2 linked regions of the Lonchura striata genome follow. The protein of the gene in region 2 purifies or fractionates together with the protein of the main gene of each other region. This does not show direct contact. Links are inferred from orthologs where the notes say so. Each region holds a gene or a part of one and is shown on either strand. Other genes may lie near its edges.

Region 1 (8,017 bases), on a different chromosome or scaffold from region 2:
GTCACCTGTGTCACCTCTGTCCTCAGCCTCCTCCACTCCACACACCTCCAGGCCACTTCTCCTGGGAGGCACTTTGTGTGGGCTGCTCGTGAAAGTGGCACTGTCCTTGTTCAGTCTGTCTTCATGCTTTCCAGGCAGTGGCTGCACTTTCTCTGAATCTTCCTGCGTTTGGGCAGCATTCTCAGAGTCACAGACTTGGTAGAACTTCTCCTGAAGCCACCTCAACTGCTGCTCTAAAAAGCAGAGCTGCTCTTTCAGCTGCTGGCAGCCTGTCGCATGGGAACTGCCCCCTGTGGGAGCCACTTGTCCAGCTGCCCCCATGCCCTGCTGGGGCATCCTTGGCTTCCTCTTGCTCTCCTGGGGCATCTCACCACCCCTTTCCCTCTCATGCCTAAAGGCTGCCTCCCGGCTCGTGTCAAATGCCTGCGGGGTTGGTGGGAGGCTCATGCCCTGGATGATGCTCTCCACCCTGGCCCGCTTGGCTCGTAAGTGCCGGTCACAGAGCTGCTCCCGTGGGTGCTGGTTGGAGAGCTGGTCCCCATCACCAGCACAGGGCATGGGAGCTGGGGCACAGCTCCTGGGGAAAGCCAGGGGTTGAGCTTCTTCTCCAGGACATGCACCACATTTGTAGCCATGAGGCAGGGCTGCTGCCTGAGAGGAAGTGAAAAGAATGGTGGGATCCAGGTTCCTGCCAACCATTGTATGGCTGAGCTGTGGTATCAGGGATGCACTGGGGGAAGGCAAGAGAGAATCAGTCTGGAAACAGGGCTCCAATTTCAGCTCCTGGCCATGCCCTGAAGTGGCACAGTCTCTATCCTGCGCAAAGCCAGTCCTGCTGTCCATCATATTTTCTTCCTGCCTGGACAGACTGGCAGATTTCCCAGGTGTTTGATGTTTCTGCCTGCTAGTGATATGGAACTGCAAAAAGAGCGAGAAACAGGACCTCATACAGCAGTTTCCCAAACACGGGGCCAGAGATTTTTTTTCTCCCAGATTTCCATGGCATCCATGCTCCCCTCCAAAAACTATTTCACCAGGGAATGACCAGGAAGAAACCTTCAGGTACTGCAAAACCTGTGGGCAGACTGTCAGATGTCACACAACAGCAGCAACACCCTGGGCACCACCACACCTCCCACCTACCAGCCAGGCATTCATCATGTCTGGAGTACATTTCACCTACTTTGAGCCTGGCAGTGCCTGGCAGTACAAACTTCCCCCATCACCAGCTGCATCTGCACCAGAGGCATTTGGGGAAACTGCCCTCTGGGCCTGTGGGCTCTGGCATGAGGGCAGGGAGCACCAGGCAGAGCCCTCTGCCACGTACACCTGGGCAAAGGGGTGGGTTTGGGTGCTGCTCCTGGGTGTTGGCAGAGCACAGAGGAGCGGCTGCATCCTTGGTGAAGACATTCACAGCACACAGCCAGCTAGGCCATGGGTCCTGCTGGCTTCTGACGGTCCCAACACTTGCCAGCAGAGCCCCCAAGCACGGGGATGGGTGGCAGCACTTAGGGGCTGGGCCAGCACAAACAGGCTGGAGAAGGAGGGCACAGAGAGGGTAAAAGTGCAATGTGACCTGCTGTGAGCAGGATGCATCGAGATGTTCAGGCTAATACAACATGGGCTTCCTAAGTGCTTGGCTAAACACTGAATAAAAGAAATGAGGATGGGGATTATCAGGGAAGAGAAAAAATACTGAGCCAGCAGCCCCAGGCTTAAAATTGTCATACTGGCTCCAAGTACAGATTCACCCCCTCTGCTCATTCCCCACTTGCACAGCTTTGCAAAAGAAGGTGTAAAATATTGTATCCTGGTCAATTGCACAGTAACTGTCCCTGTGGGATGTTTCTTCCTTATCCACCTTAATTAGCAGTAGCTTTGCACCACTTATTAGGACAGCTCTTGTCTTTTCCAGACACCTTTAAAGTCTGATATTCTTTTGCTATTCCCAGAAATGCCTCATCATTTTCAGCACCATCAGTCTCCTGTCCCTGTAACTGCTCTGTGCCAAGTCCTCCAGGCAGTGTAGAAAATGGGTTTCTTCTCAGGGGTTTTCAGCAGGTTGCCTTTCTTCAAACAACCATGAATTCCAGGCAGGTGCCTGGGAGAGCTCTACCTTTTGCAGAGCCATAGTCTTGACAAACCAAGTATTTTCTGGGTTATCTGACACCACATGTTGATCTGTGTTGTCTCCCCATCTGTCCTGACCACTGGGGTTTCATTTTCCTAAGAGTCTGCTGTAGAGTATTTCAAACTGCTCAGTTTATCCACAGGCAGCACAAGGCTGGGATGCCAGCAGCTCTCAACATCCTGCCTTGCCCTTGTGTTATAAATTTCACCATTGCCTGCAGCTGCCTCTGAGCCTGCCATCTGCACCCAACAAAGTCACACAGCAAACACATTACAGTTATAGATTCCATCCAACCTTAATCCTTTCCTCAATGGTGTGGTCCTGTAATCTCACTTGTTTTTCTATAGAAACACCTTCTTTTGACATTTGCTCACAATTTCTCTCTGTGTGTTGTGATGTGCTGTGCTCAACAGCAAAGTCAGGAGCTTACCTGTCCCCTGGGCTGGGGCTTCCCAGCCCCCTGGAACCTGGGTGATACACCCCTTTCAAGCAGATCGAGTCAGAGCTGGCAAGGTGACTTCTACTTGCTTAAGGTTTCCAGCACCACTGCCTTTTTTCTGGAGACTGGGAGGGAGGGAGCCGGGCGTGCTGTCCCAAGCCATGGCAGCCCGCTGTGCGTGGCCTTGGCTCCGGTCACAGCATCCCCGGCACCGCAGGACCAGGAGGCGCTGCCTAAGCGAACTGCGCCTGCTGATGCAGCTCTTTCCACACGGAGTTAGCAGGTGCGTGCTTTGGTTCCCACTCTTACTCACAGCTTTCACTTAGTGCCACCCTCCAGAACACTAAAAAGCAGCCGAGACTCCTCCTACCTGAAGAGAAAGACAGGAACGAAACGCAGATGCTGAGAAGACGAGGGCAGCGTGCCTTGTCCAGAACTGAAGCCACCCGTCATGGGCTCCCTGGGCGCTCCTGGGTGGGCCAGCAGCCCGGAGCAGCGAGAGCAGCGAGCTGTCCGTGCAGACGGCGATCCCCCGAGCCGTCCCCGCCGCCCATCCCCGGTGTGCCGCCGTGCCCGCGGTGCGCGGGGGCAGCGCCGGTCCGTCCTGGGGCCTTAAAGAGGGAGTGGGAGGCTGGAGGCAGCCAACCAGCTGGGAACGACTTCTGAATATGCAGATGGACACCCAGGAGCTGATGTCCGACGCCACCTTCCCTGCTGGCTCCCGCACTCATAGCCCCTGAGCCAGACAGGCAAGGGCTATCGGGCGCCGAGCTGCTGGCTACCCAGGTGGGCAGAGGCCCAGAGCAGCAATTTTCCCCTGGAATCTGGCCGGAAGCCCCATTCAGGATAGTGAAATGTTGGTGAGACATGCAAATACACCAGGCTGACAAGCAGTGCCACAAGCACAAGGAAGGAGCTGGCCCAGATCCCACCAGCTACCCATCTTCCATGGAAAGTGGCCAGGCATTTCCCACATCCCGCACTCTGGGGGCGCAGAGGCAATTTGGCTGTCCTGGAGGTCTGCAGCACAGGACACGGCCAAGAAATGGGACAACACAGGAAAAGCAGCAACACAGAGTCCCTCGCTTGTCGCAGGGTGCTTTACAGAGAGCCCAGCAGAGCTGGCATCACTCCCAGCTGAGCACGTCCTGACCCAGCCCCAGGACAAACCTACCTGCCCCAGCAGCACATGTGGCTGGCAGAAACTTCTCGTGCAGGAGCTGGGGTTGGGTGGGCAAAGTCTAGCCATGCATGCCACTCCTGGGGCTTTATCTGCTTTGCTTCCACATGCTAACTGAGCACAGCAGTGCTTAGTGTATTCACTGTGTAGGCAGGAGGCCGTGGTTAAAGGCAGTTGACATCAGGTGGTCAATATTGTTCAAGGATATTAGCCTTCAAAAGACAGATCATAGAGAAATCCCTGGCAGAGAGCCTTTCTGGCTCAGTTATCATTTATTAGAGCAGTCAGCTCATCCTCAAAGCCTCAGAGACTACCCCCTGTTGATTTTTATTCAACCTCTTTCCTTTGAAAATGATCTCATATTTCGAAGTTTGCAGTCAACCATTCATAAATTATTAAGCAGTGGCTAAATTAAGCACATGTGCATAACCCAGACTTGGCTCCTTGAGAGATACCTGGTGCCAGACAGCCCTTTATAACTATCCCAGGCTGATTCTCAGAATCTGTAAATGGGTTCCTTGGGTTTTCTTCCACCTGTGGTTCCCTGCCTGGGAGCAGGCAGAAAACAGAAGCTAGCTGGGGAATTCTCAAATGTTTTCAACATAGAGAGCACACCTGAGGAACAGGGCTTACTTGTGGACTCATTTTCCTGTTTGCCATGGTGAGATGACCTCATTGCCCGTTTCTAACCTTGTGGCATCCCACTGGGTGATGCTTGTGGCAACACCACCCCACACGAGAACAGTCCCATGGTTTGCCAAGGTGGGCAGGCAAACCACGGGTACGGCTGTCCCGCAGTGACCCAGAGCTGCTTCAAAGAACAGCGTCACAAAACGGCATTCTTCGTAATGCACAGGTTATTTATTACACATATACTATTACATATCGTAACATCGATATATCCATATACGTGGTTATATCAATATATGTAATGCATAGCTATTTCATATGCATGTGATCTATAAGTAATAGTATTTAATATATATCATACAGGACGCATTAACACCTGTATTATTACACACACGGTAACACACAGGAATATCGTGCGCAGAGCCTCGCCCCCGGCCCGGGCCCGGCCCCCGCCCGCCATGGTCCCGCCCCGGCCGCCCCCCCGTCCTGGGGCGGTTGGTCCGGCCCCCCGCGCTTCCGCCGCGCGCCGGGCCTGGTTCCGGTGTCCGCCCTGCGGCCCCTCCCGCCGCCGCCGCCGCCGCCGCGATGGTGCCGCTGTGGCGGTCCCGCTGCCTCGGCCGCGCGCTGGGCCGCTCGCTGCGCGCCCTCCGGCAGGTACGGCCCGCGGGCAGCGGCCGCGGGGAGCGGGCGGCGAGGGAGGGCGGCGGCCGTGCGGGCGAGGTCGGCGGCGCCAAGGGCACCGGGACGCGTCCCCTGCTGCCGGGCGCTCCGCACCGCCGCCCCGGGGCGCGGCAGGGCCGGGCACGGGAAGGGCCGGCGAGGCTGTCCCCCAGCGGGGGCCGCGGTGGCGCGGCGCTGCCCGTTCCCCGCGGGTGCCGCTGCCCCGCGGGCAGGCCCGGCCCCGCGGGAAGGGCGCGGCAGCGGCAGAGCCGGGCGGCGGGAAGGGCTGGCGGGAAGGGCTCGCGAACGGCGCCGCGCTCGGGCTCCGCCGGCCCGCCCGTCAGCGGCATCTGAGGCCTCGCTGCTGGCAGCCACCGGCCTGCGCTGGCAGAGACCCCCGGCCGGGGCGCGCCGCGCGGGACCGGCAACAACCGGCGTGCGGTTTGGTGTTTGAATCCTGTGCTCGGTTTTCAGGGCAGGCGGTGGTAGCCTCTGCTGGCTGCAGCGTGGGCTGACAGCGCCCAGCAGCTGCTTAACCCTGGGGCTGCCCTTGGCCAGCCGGGTCCTGTGTCCTGCTGCTCACACCTTCCATTTCAGCTTCATGTGCACACACATGTTTGTGCATACCTACGGCATGAGAAAGATCACTTCTCTTCCAGTGACCAGCTGGAGCCTTCCAGCATGAGACTTGGTTTTAGACATGCTGTAAATGTAGGCAAGCGTTGACAACCAGTTGTAATGTACCGACACCTTTGTGTGTATACATGTAAAACTGTGTTATGAACAACTTACAAGTAACTGTATAGTTACAGTTTGTTACAGATATATTAGAGAAAAATTGGTTATAATGCAGTTTAAACAAGCCTATTAAAGTGGCATTTTAGCAATATTTAACCTTTGTCAGCTCTCAGTGGTGTTGTGTAATTATAAAGAACGGGAAGAAGTCAGATGGAGTATTCAAACCTTTTACAAAACTAGTCTGAAAATCAGGAGGTTTTAGGCTGAATGCTAGTTAACCTGTTAGATATACTGAAAGAGTTATAGTAGAAGTTTGCTTTCCATTTGAACAGCAATATGGGAAGTAAATTTTTATTATGTAAAACAGGCTTTTTGGAGAGATAGAAAAAAATCCCAGAACTTGGCAAACCTCTGATGGCAGAAGTGAGAATGGTAGACATATACAAAATTCAGAAGTGGAGGATTGAACGGGGGAAGAGTGGAGTCAGTGAGGGTGAGGAAGGGTTGGCTGGGTTTTGGCTGTCTGTAAAAGAAGAAAAGGTTCTGAATTCATATTAAGTAGAAACCAGGAATGTGTATCAATAGCTTGTAGCACATAAGAGTTGGGGCAGGAGCAGGCAGACGTAGAAGGCTATGTGAAAAAGTCCAGAGAAGAGCTGGTCTGGAAAAGATAGATTTGATCAGGAGCTGCGTAAAGTGCTTTGAGAATCAAATCCTTCTGTTTATGGGCAGGAGTTCATAAAGAACTTTTTCTTCCCTGTTTGATCCTCCCCTCATGCTGGAGGAGTTCTGAGCCTGTTGTCTTAGTAACAGCGTCCACCACTCAGCATGATCTCCATCCCATCTTGGCACCTGCCCTCCCATGCTGTATATAATTGTTTTGATGCCCATGAAAGCCATGCAGTGGGGTTTTTGTGTGGAGCAGGAGTTTGTGCTCATCCTTGTTAGAGCAGCAGCTGCTTTGCTCTCAAGAAGCCATGGCTGGAGAACCAATTTCTGCTTTGCCTGTTGTTGGAGCTGCACAGCACTGGCCTTCTGGTTTGCCTCTGTTCACATGAGCTGCACTGTCACGTTCATCAGATTCCTTACCTGAACTGGTCCCTCGCTGTTGGTATACAGGCTGTCGCTTTAGCTGATGTATTCCATCCTTTGTTTCAGTGTGTAGTGACCTACTGGAAGGTGATGGCTCCATAAAGGTGTGGCCTGGGACCATGCATGCCAGGGTCACTTTGACGTAGTAACACTTATAAAAACGATTCTGAGAAGTCATGTGAAACAAGAGGGAAATATTAATCACTTGCTACATGAGTCACTGGCTAATTAGACCAAGATTTCTTTCCCCAAGTGAAGCCTGTCTTTTTAAACTGACCCAAAGTGCCAAAGCCACGTAGCAAAACTTAAATATTTCCATTCTCACTGAAAAAGCTCCAGTAGAAGGCAGAGGGCAGATTTAGCCAAGTGATCCAGGAAGAGGTGCAGTCAGAAAGATTCCTTCAGGGAAAAATGGAACAGGAAGCAGCCCTGTAAGCAGCCCTGTCCTGTGTCTCCTGAAGCTGCATGTTTATCTCAGAGGTACTGTGGTTAAGAGATAGGCACACAGCAGTTCTGCAGGATGTAATTCAGAAAAATCACAGTATCTTTTATTAGTGGCTTCCTCCTCACATTAAGCCCTTCCCCTAATTTCTTAACCTTAAAGGCAAAGGATAGAGTGATACCAATTTTTTCCTTAATTTTGCTACCAGATACCACTGGTGGAAGAGAGCTGCAGATGTATTTTCTCCCAGCAATTTATTTTAGGACAGACCTTCTAAATTTTCTTTTTTGTTTTATCTCCACAGTAAACTGGTCCTGAGCAAATAAAATTGTCTGGTTTTGCATCAGTCTGAGGCTGTTCCTTTCTTAACAATTTATTGTCTGGTGTTCTAGGAATGCCTTTAACCACTTTTTTTAATAAAGCACCCAGGGAAACATTAATGGATAGAGGGGAACTCAGGTTGCTTGATACTCAATTTGTGATTGACTCTATGCTATCTTGGACACTACAGAAAGTGAGAAAAATATGATCAATACAGAGTGCTGAGGATTGTGGTGCTCTAGAGAGCTGACCCAGTGGAGGGCTGACCCACTTAAGTTGGAGTTTGTCTTACTGATCCTGGCTTAGAGCTGGCTCTACACAAACCAGATCTGAGTTAGCAGGGACCAGTGCTGCACCAGGGTTAGTTATTGTTGCATTCCAGAT
Region 2 (7,692 bases):
CTTTAAGCTGAAGGGCGTAGATTTAGATCAGCTCTTAGGAAGGAATTCTTTACTGTGAGGGTGGTGAGGCACAGGAATAGGTTGCCCAAAGAAGCTCCTGAATGCTCAAGGTCTCTGAGAAATATGGTCTAGTGGAAGGTGCTCCTGAATGCTCAGGGTCTCTGAGTAACATGGTCTAGTGGAAGGTGTCCCTGTCCATGGCAGGGGAGTTGGAACAAGGCCAGCTTGAACATTCCTTCCAACCCAAACCATTCTGTGATTCTATGATGCATCAGGTGGCTGAAGGCCTTGTACAGCCAAGCCCTGAAAATACTGAAAGATGAAGACTACATGTTGCATGGGCCCCCCATTCCTGTGCTTCACTGGAACTCATCACCAGGAGTTCTTGTCCTTACCAGGTGGTCAAACCAGCTAACTTGTCATGAAGTCTATTTTAGGTAATTCAGAAACATTGTGACATACCAAGCAGCAGAAACATGCCCAAGACTGCTAGCACCACCTTCTCAGAGTTCCAGATAATTATAAGAACAAGAATGCAGTGCCAAGAGTGTCAGTTGGTCTCATATTAAAAAGTGAAGGCAAAAAAAAATCCTGAAGTCACGTTCTGTATTTTTGTAAGTTTAAAAAGATTTTAAATATATTATACACATACAACTCTCACAATACTTAATTAAATGACACACCACTAGTACATATCAGACACCAACTGCCTCTTCTGAAAGGTGCTCAAAGACAACAGGCAGAACAACAGAGATGAACACAAATAAATGTAACTAAGATACTATAGTATTTCTACACATATTTTTGCCTCTAAAGTTCTCACATGGCAGTAGAATTCCACTAATCACAGTCAAAAAGCTTATCAGTTGAATATGGCTTTTTCCCCTTCTGAGTTCCCTCAGTCTGTTCTTCAGAATAGTTTTCCACTGGTCTTTTTGTCAGTCATGATCTTCTTATTTTTCCCTTTGTTGAGAGAAAAATTCCTTCTTAGCACTGTTTTGCCACCTTCTCTTTCACAAGAATATAAGTTCACATCAATTATCAGTTCCAACCAAAAGTAAGCTCCGTCAGTAGCAGGGCTATAGAGAGTAATATAGTCAGACCTCCATTTCAAATTCTGCATAATGCAGGTAAGCAAGGTAAGGAAAGATTAGCAAAGATGTCTACACCATCTGGTGGCCCAAGATGTGACAGAAGGATTACAGTATCACACAGACACCTTTCAAGTTCACCTGGATGAGTATTCTGCTATCTGAGTCAGGTCTCACCTTAAACCCAAGCTGAGCTGCTTTGATAGCAGCAACATATCCTCCAGGCCCAGAGCCAATAACTGTGACATCAGCATCAACTGAAACAGAGAACAGCCGAGTTACTGTTTTTTCAGAAAATAACTGCATCTTAAGAATTATGCAAGTTAATGAAATAGGATTAGATAAAGAAGCTACACCTCATATGTGAAAGTAACTTTCTGGACAGGGAAAGGTTGTGTAAAGGTATTCATTCCACAAGAAAAATAAGCAGTCTTAAATTTCACAAGGAAAATAATGTAAAATGACATCAAGAAACTGAATTTCCCATCCCTCTTGCTCTAAAGCCTTTAAGAACTTAACTCAAGCTGTCTTGATAGTTCACTGTAACATTTTTTCCAACATAGCTTCTATCGATGTTTAGCACCAAACATAAATGCTTACTATATACCACAAATTTATAAAGGGGAAAACACAGCTGCAATAGGTATCTCTGGAAGCTATTGATTATAAAGCAGTGGCAGCTATGAACTTTGTACCTAGCTCATATCTTGTAACCACAATCTCTTTTAGAACATTAATTAAAATAAGAACAGTGATGGTGAAGTTCAGCTTGTATTTACAGCTTTACCTTGAAATCACATTATGCAAATAAACCAGTTTTCGTCTAAATCTCCATCCTGACATGGATTTCACCTCGAAGGCTGATTTCAAAGTTTGAAGTATTGTTTTGTTTTTTGTGGGAGTTGGTGGGGTTTTCTTGTCCAAAAAAGGTTTCTCACAAGAAATTACCTTGATCAGCATAGGACCTTTGTGGTACTGCACAAACTCCCTGAAGACCATGATGAATTCGATCAAAATGGCTTCTCTAAAAGGTAAAAAAATAAAAAGAACCCCTTGGTTTTACAAGTTTATGTCTATTCTTCAGAGAAAATAAACATTCAGCCACACAGAGGTGAACATACAGTTACTGTCACCAGCTAACCAAAACAGGAACAGCAGGACTGAAGCACAGTGGGCACTGACTGGAACAAGAGGCAGAAGTTGTTCTGCCACCTCAGTCTGTCATCACACCTGTTCTCAGGTCAGTCACACCTCAGGCTGCCTCTGACTACAAAACTTTCAACTCTTTCCAACTCTCAAACCACATAATGACGTAAATTAGATATCCACGGGAGTTTATGTAGAGTCTTGTTCTGTAAGCAACCCCTTCAGGCACTTCCTATGAAAAGGCAGCTGTATCTCATAGGAAGCTGAGGAGGGCAAAAGTAATGGCACAGCACAGAGCAGGCGCTACAAACACATCGAGGGCCGATCACCCTGTAACTGGAGTAGAGGATGTCCCTGGAAGCATTTGCGAAGTCCGCAGCACCGCAGCCCCAACGCCGGGGCCGGCTGCCGGCGGCGCTTTCTGCAGCCAGCACGGCCGCGGCCTCCCGCGGGCCGGGACACCGGGAGGAGCACCGACAGCGGGAGGCCGGTCCCTGCCGCTCCGGGACCCTGGGGGCCGCCACGCCCCCTCCGCCCGGCCGAGAGGCGAGGGGACAGCGGAGCGGGGAGGGAGCGCGGCCAAGGCCCGCGCCCGCCTCAGGCGCCGCTCCGGCCCCGCCCGCCTCACGCACGCCCCCGGCGGGCTGAGGGCTCTGAGGAAAGCCCAGGCTCGAGCTGCTCGGCGCGGCTGCCGTCCCTGACCCCCTCCCTTGCCCTCGCCTCGCCGCCCCGCCGGTGCCATACCCGAGCGAGCGCGCAGGAGACGCGGCCCCAGCGCTGCATGTCGGCCCCGCCGCCGCGCCCCGGCCGCTCAAGGACTCCGCGGACGCGCGCAGGCGCAGTGCCGCGGGGCGGGGCCGGGCGGCGCGGGCCTCAGCGCCGGGAGCGAGCGCGGGGCGCGGCCCCGCTGCCCTGGCCCTGCTGCCCGTGCCGCGGGAGCGCGCCCAGGCGGGTTTGGAACGTGTCCAAAGAGAATCCGCCACCGCCCTGGACAGCCTGTTCCGTGCCACCCTCGGCGGGAAGGAGCTCTCCTCTCTTGTGTTTCACTTTATGGCCATTGCTCCTCTTCCTGTTGCCGGCACCACTAAAAAGAATCTGGCACATCCTCTTGGCACCAATCTTTGAGATATTTCTAGAATCGGAGAATCACAGAATATGCTAAGTTGGAAGGGCCCATCAGGATCCAGCTCCTGGCCCTGCATAGGACACCCCAAGAGTCACACCCTGTGCCTGAGAGCATTTTTCAAACTCTTCTATAACTCTGTCAGGCTGATGCTATGACCACTTCCCTGGGAACCCTGTTCCAGTGCCCAGCCACCCTCTGGGTGAAGAAACATTTTCAAATATCCAGTCTAAACCTCCCCTGACTCAGCTTCATGATGTTTCCACTCATCACGAGAATGAAGAGATTGGCACCCACCTGTTATAAATTGTGACACGGCAATTTGAAGTGTCTTAATCCAATAAAGCAATTTTATTGAAAATAGCAAGCGAGTAAGGCAGGCAAAGCACAGCGCTGGGCGGCCGGGGAGTCTCCTGCTCCACCAACGGCGCGCAAAAATGTTCTGTCCCAACCTTCCTTTTATCCCCCCCCTTCTCCTTGCAGGCGTGACTCTCCAGATGTAGTCTGAGTCTGGTCGTTGTGATAGCTTCTAAGTCTCTTCTTTTGAGATACAGCAAGCAGACCAGATACACACACCTAGGACTCTAATCTCAACCTCCTTATCACCTTGTAAGCAAATAAGCATTTCAAAGACACACCAGTACATTCTTATGCAAACCAAGGTAAGCGAGCATATCACAGTGAACAAAATGATCTTCCACTTATCTCACACCTGTCTACTTCCCCTCATAAGGATGCTCAAGACCACAATAAGGTGGTCTCAGTCTCCTCCAGGCTGAAAAGATCAAGTGACATCATGAGTCTGCATAAGTCTTCTCCTCATAAGGCTTCTCCTTCAGACCCTTCACCATCCCCACAACTTCCTTGGGAAGCCTCTAATAACTCAATGTCTTTTTTATATTGTGATGCCCAAAACTATTCCCAGGATTTGAAGTGACACCAGCCCAGTGCAGAGCAGGGTGGGACAATCCCCTCCCAGCTGGTGATGCCCTCCAGGACATGGCTGGCCCTCCTGACTGCCAGGGAACTGCTAATTAATATTCAACTTTCCATTTGTATGTATTGATGACATCCCTTTCAGTCTTCTCTTGACTAAGCCAGCCCAGCTCCCTCAGCCTCTCCTCTTAGGACAAGTGTTGCAGTCCCATCACCATCTTTGTGGCTTCCACTGGACCCTCTCTAACAGCTCCTTGTTTTGCTTGTACTGAGGAGCCCAGCACTGCACCCTGCATTCCAGATGTGGCCTCGCTAGGAGGGACACCTGTTGCAGAATTTCTGAGAGAGAGAGGGCACGATTTATGTCTGGAGTGAGAACTGAGCTACCCTTCAGACTAGGCCCCTGATAAGCGGCCTTGGTGGGGCCTAGCAGTTAGAAATTATGTTAAGGTAACTACAAAGTAATGAGCTATTAGAGCGTGAATTAGGGTAGAGCTGCAGTGTGAAAAGCCTGACCGCCTTAAGGCAAAGGTAAACAATGTTAGCTTGCCAATGAGAGTGCCTTTGTAAACTGTAAACTATATGGAAGTGTATATAAACTGCCATCTTCTCACTAATAGAGGGAGAACGTAGCTTTAACCATATTGGATTGACCTGCGTTTGTCCCGTCCAGCACCCCCTCATATTATAAGAAGTCCCGGCTTTTGCCACTTCCCTGGGCCTGCTGGCTACAGTGTTCCTGATGCACCCCAGGATACCATTGAGTCATCCTGGCCACAGGGCCACACTGCCAGTTCATGATCAACTTGTCACCTACCAAAACTCACGGGTCCTTCTCAGCAGAGCTGCTCTCAAGTAGGTCACACCCCGATCTGTGTTGCTACTTGGGAGCTCACTGACCCACCTGGCACCAAAGTGAACCCTGGGGTGAGCAAAGCAGCCCTCAGTCCCAGACTGACTGCATCTGAACGACACCTGGGCACAAGCAGAGAAAGGGAAATTACATGTTTCAGACAGAAACCTCTTCCATCTAATTGACGGTGAAATGCCCATATATCTTTATACATTAAAAAAAAGTAAAATCTACAGTAATTTAGGAAGGACTTTGAATATTTGTTTTCAATTTATTTAATCATGAAAAATTGAACTAGAATATTCTTGAACATATTCTCGAGCTAGAACATTCTCTAGAAGAAAATTCTCCTGAAGAAGGGGTGACTAAGAGAAGACCTCATCAATGTATGCAAATATCTAAAGGGGAATTGGAGCCAGGCAATGGCTCACTGGTGCCAAGCAATAGGACCAGAGGCAATGGGAATAAAGTGATGCACAAAAAGTTCCACTTCAATCTGAAGAAGAACATCTTTACTGTGTAGGTAACTGAGCACTGTAACAGAATGCCCAAGGGGTTTTGGAGTCTCCCTCACTGGAGATATTCAAGAACCTTCTGGATGCAATCTTGTGCAATTTGCTATGGGATGACCTTGCTTGAGCAGGGAGGTTGGACTAGATGACCCACTGTGGTGCCTTCCAATCTGACCAGTTCTGTGATTCCATGACTGTGAAATGCAAATAAATTCAATTTTTAAAACATTCAAAAATATAAATTCGAAAATATTAAATTTAAAAAATATTTTCAAGTGTATTGGAATAATTGCTTCCAATTTATTTAATCAAGAAAAGAATTGAACTAGAATATTGACACATTTTTATAATTAACATGGTTTAATTTAATACTCTGTATATTTTTACATAACTTATATTTTCTTCTGAAAAATAGATTGTATTTTCTTCTAGAATAATACATTGAACACCCTACATTCCTCTGTTATTTGCACTTTAGCACATCAGTATTTTAAAACTTAAATCCTTCATTGTCAGTGGGAGAACAACAATGGGCCAGGATAATTTTCCTTCTATAGTGAATTCTGCCCAATTTAGGACATACATAATATTCTGTTCAATTTAAGCTAAAAACACCTAAATGTGGCTTTAGGTAAGTGATATGCAATATAGATCATACTGTTGGTTGCCCACTTTGCCTGAAATTGAAAAGGAGTTCTCACGTTAACTGGATGTACTCATTTCTTGCACACGTATTTCCATCAGAGGGCAGTGTTCTGCTACTTCCCACACAGCCAGGGAAAAAGGCCCTGTTCAGCAGACAGAACTCCTCTTCCACCTTTTTCCATAAGGATTTCTCTGATCGTCCCTTCAGCAATGCTGGAGACTGTATGTGCCCAATATTTTTATATTTAAACCCCTGTCGGTTAGAGCATGCTGTTAATAATGCCGAAGTTGTTTTTGATCCCCGTATTGGCCATTCACTCAAGGTGAACTTGATGATCCTTGTGGGTTCCTTCCAACTTAGAATATTCTGTGATTCTAATGAGAAAGCATCCCAGAGTTACCCTGGATAGTATAGTGTCCCCATCATTTCCTCCCACCCTCACTAATGAGCCAACCAAAGAGAATAAAAACCAAGAGAATAAAACTCCAGCTGTAGCTAACTGAAAGTACTCAGCCAACATGTTTCAATTTTCCATGCCCTCCCAGCCTTGGTGCATGTTGGAGCTCACCCCACTGCACAGTACATGAGTATTTCTAGGGAAATTATAGGTTTTTACAGACACAAATCTGAATGCCATGAGAATGTGTTTACTGCAAGCAGTGAACAGGATCATCTCCTGCAAGAAGAAATGACTGGTGGCTCTGAATGATGCCTCCAGCTCCTGTGGTCAGTACAGATGGTTACTGTGGCCACCAAAGGGAAGGCAGCTTGTGTGGTTATTGCTTCAGCACCCAGGCAAGAGGGTGTAGGGGGCCTGGGGAATTCAGGAAGCATTACAGTGTATCTTAGTGGATGGGGACAGTGGGAAGGCAAAAGGGCACACAGGGAATGTAGGGTTAGATCACTCCATCCCATTCATCACAGCCCTGAATAGTCACCTCTGAACAGCCTTGCCCATTAACTACATGTCCCTTGGAGGAAAAATATTATGAACCTTCCTGGGTACCTTGCTGAAGTTAAGAGATTGTTAAAATTCTTTTTTGATGTTTTACATCTCTGAGTAATAAAGATAAGTAATAAAGATTAAAAAAAAAAGAAAAATAAATTAAAAAAATATCTGAGTAATAAAGACAGTGTACTGCCTGTAGAACTGTGGTACATGTAAACCATGGACACCTGAGTACTTTTGGTTCCCTTCCTCCTGGCATGACTCTACCTCACCTTGCTTTGGTTGTGGCACTCCTTGCTTGAGCACTGAGGTTACCCTACCTGTTTACACTTCCATTTTTTTTCCATGAGTACCCATGAAATGTCCCCTCAAAGCAAAGCAGGCTCCTGGGATTCCAGCTGCATGAGGAGGGATCTTGCCAGCAAGAGGAAGCAGG

The links.
Region 1: the proteins of DLD (region 2) and DLST purify together in Homo sapiens (affinity purification with mass spectrometry; 3 studies listed by BioGRID and IntAct, counting the BioPlex papers as one, with this or other methods). This does not show direct contact. The link is inferred for Lonchura striata from reciprocal best matches to the Homo sapiens genes DLD and DLST.

Annotation. Positions count from the first base shown.
Region 1 is NC_134608.1:23,259,603-23,267,619, reverse strand, and holds the start of DLST (dihydrolipoyllysine-residue succinyltransferase component of 2-oxoglutarate dehydrogenase complex, mitochondrial), read left to right. Parts: upstream 1-4,931; 5' UTR 4,932-4,965; coding exon 4,966-5,034; intron 5,035-8,017. Other genes in the region: PROX2 (prospero homeobox protein 2), read right to left, coding at 1-1,074, 4,775-4,840. UniProt on the Homo sapiens protein: Dihydrolipoamide succinyltransferase (E2) component of the 2-oxoglutarate dehydrogenase complex. The 2-oxoglutarate dehydrogenase complex catalyzes the overall conversion of 2-oxoglutarate to succinyl-CoA and CO(2).
Region 2 is NC_134607.1:59,081,889-59,089,580, forward strand, and holds the start of DLD (dihydrolipoyl dehydrogenase, mitochondrial), read right to left. Parts: upstream 3,080-7,692; 5' UTR 3,021-3,079; coding exon 2,982-3,020; intron 2,116-2,981; coding exon 2,040-2,115; intron 1,349-2,039; coding exon 1,269-1,348; intron 1-1,268. UniProt on the Homo sapiens protein: Lipoamide dehydrogenase is a component of the glycine cleavage system as well as an E3 component of three alpha-ketoacid dehydrogenase complexes (pyruvate-, alpha-ketoglutarate-, and branched-chain amino acid-dehydrogenase complex).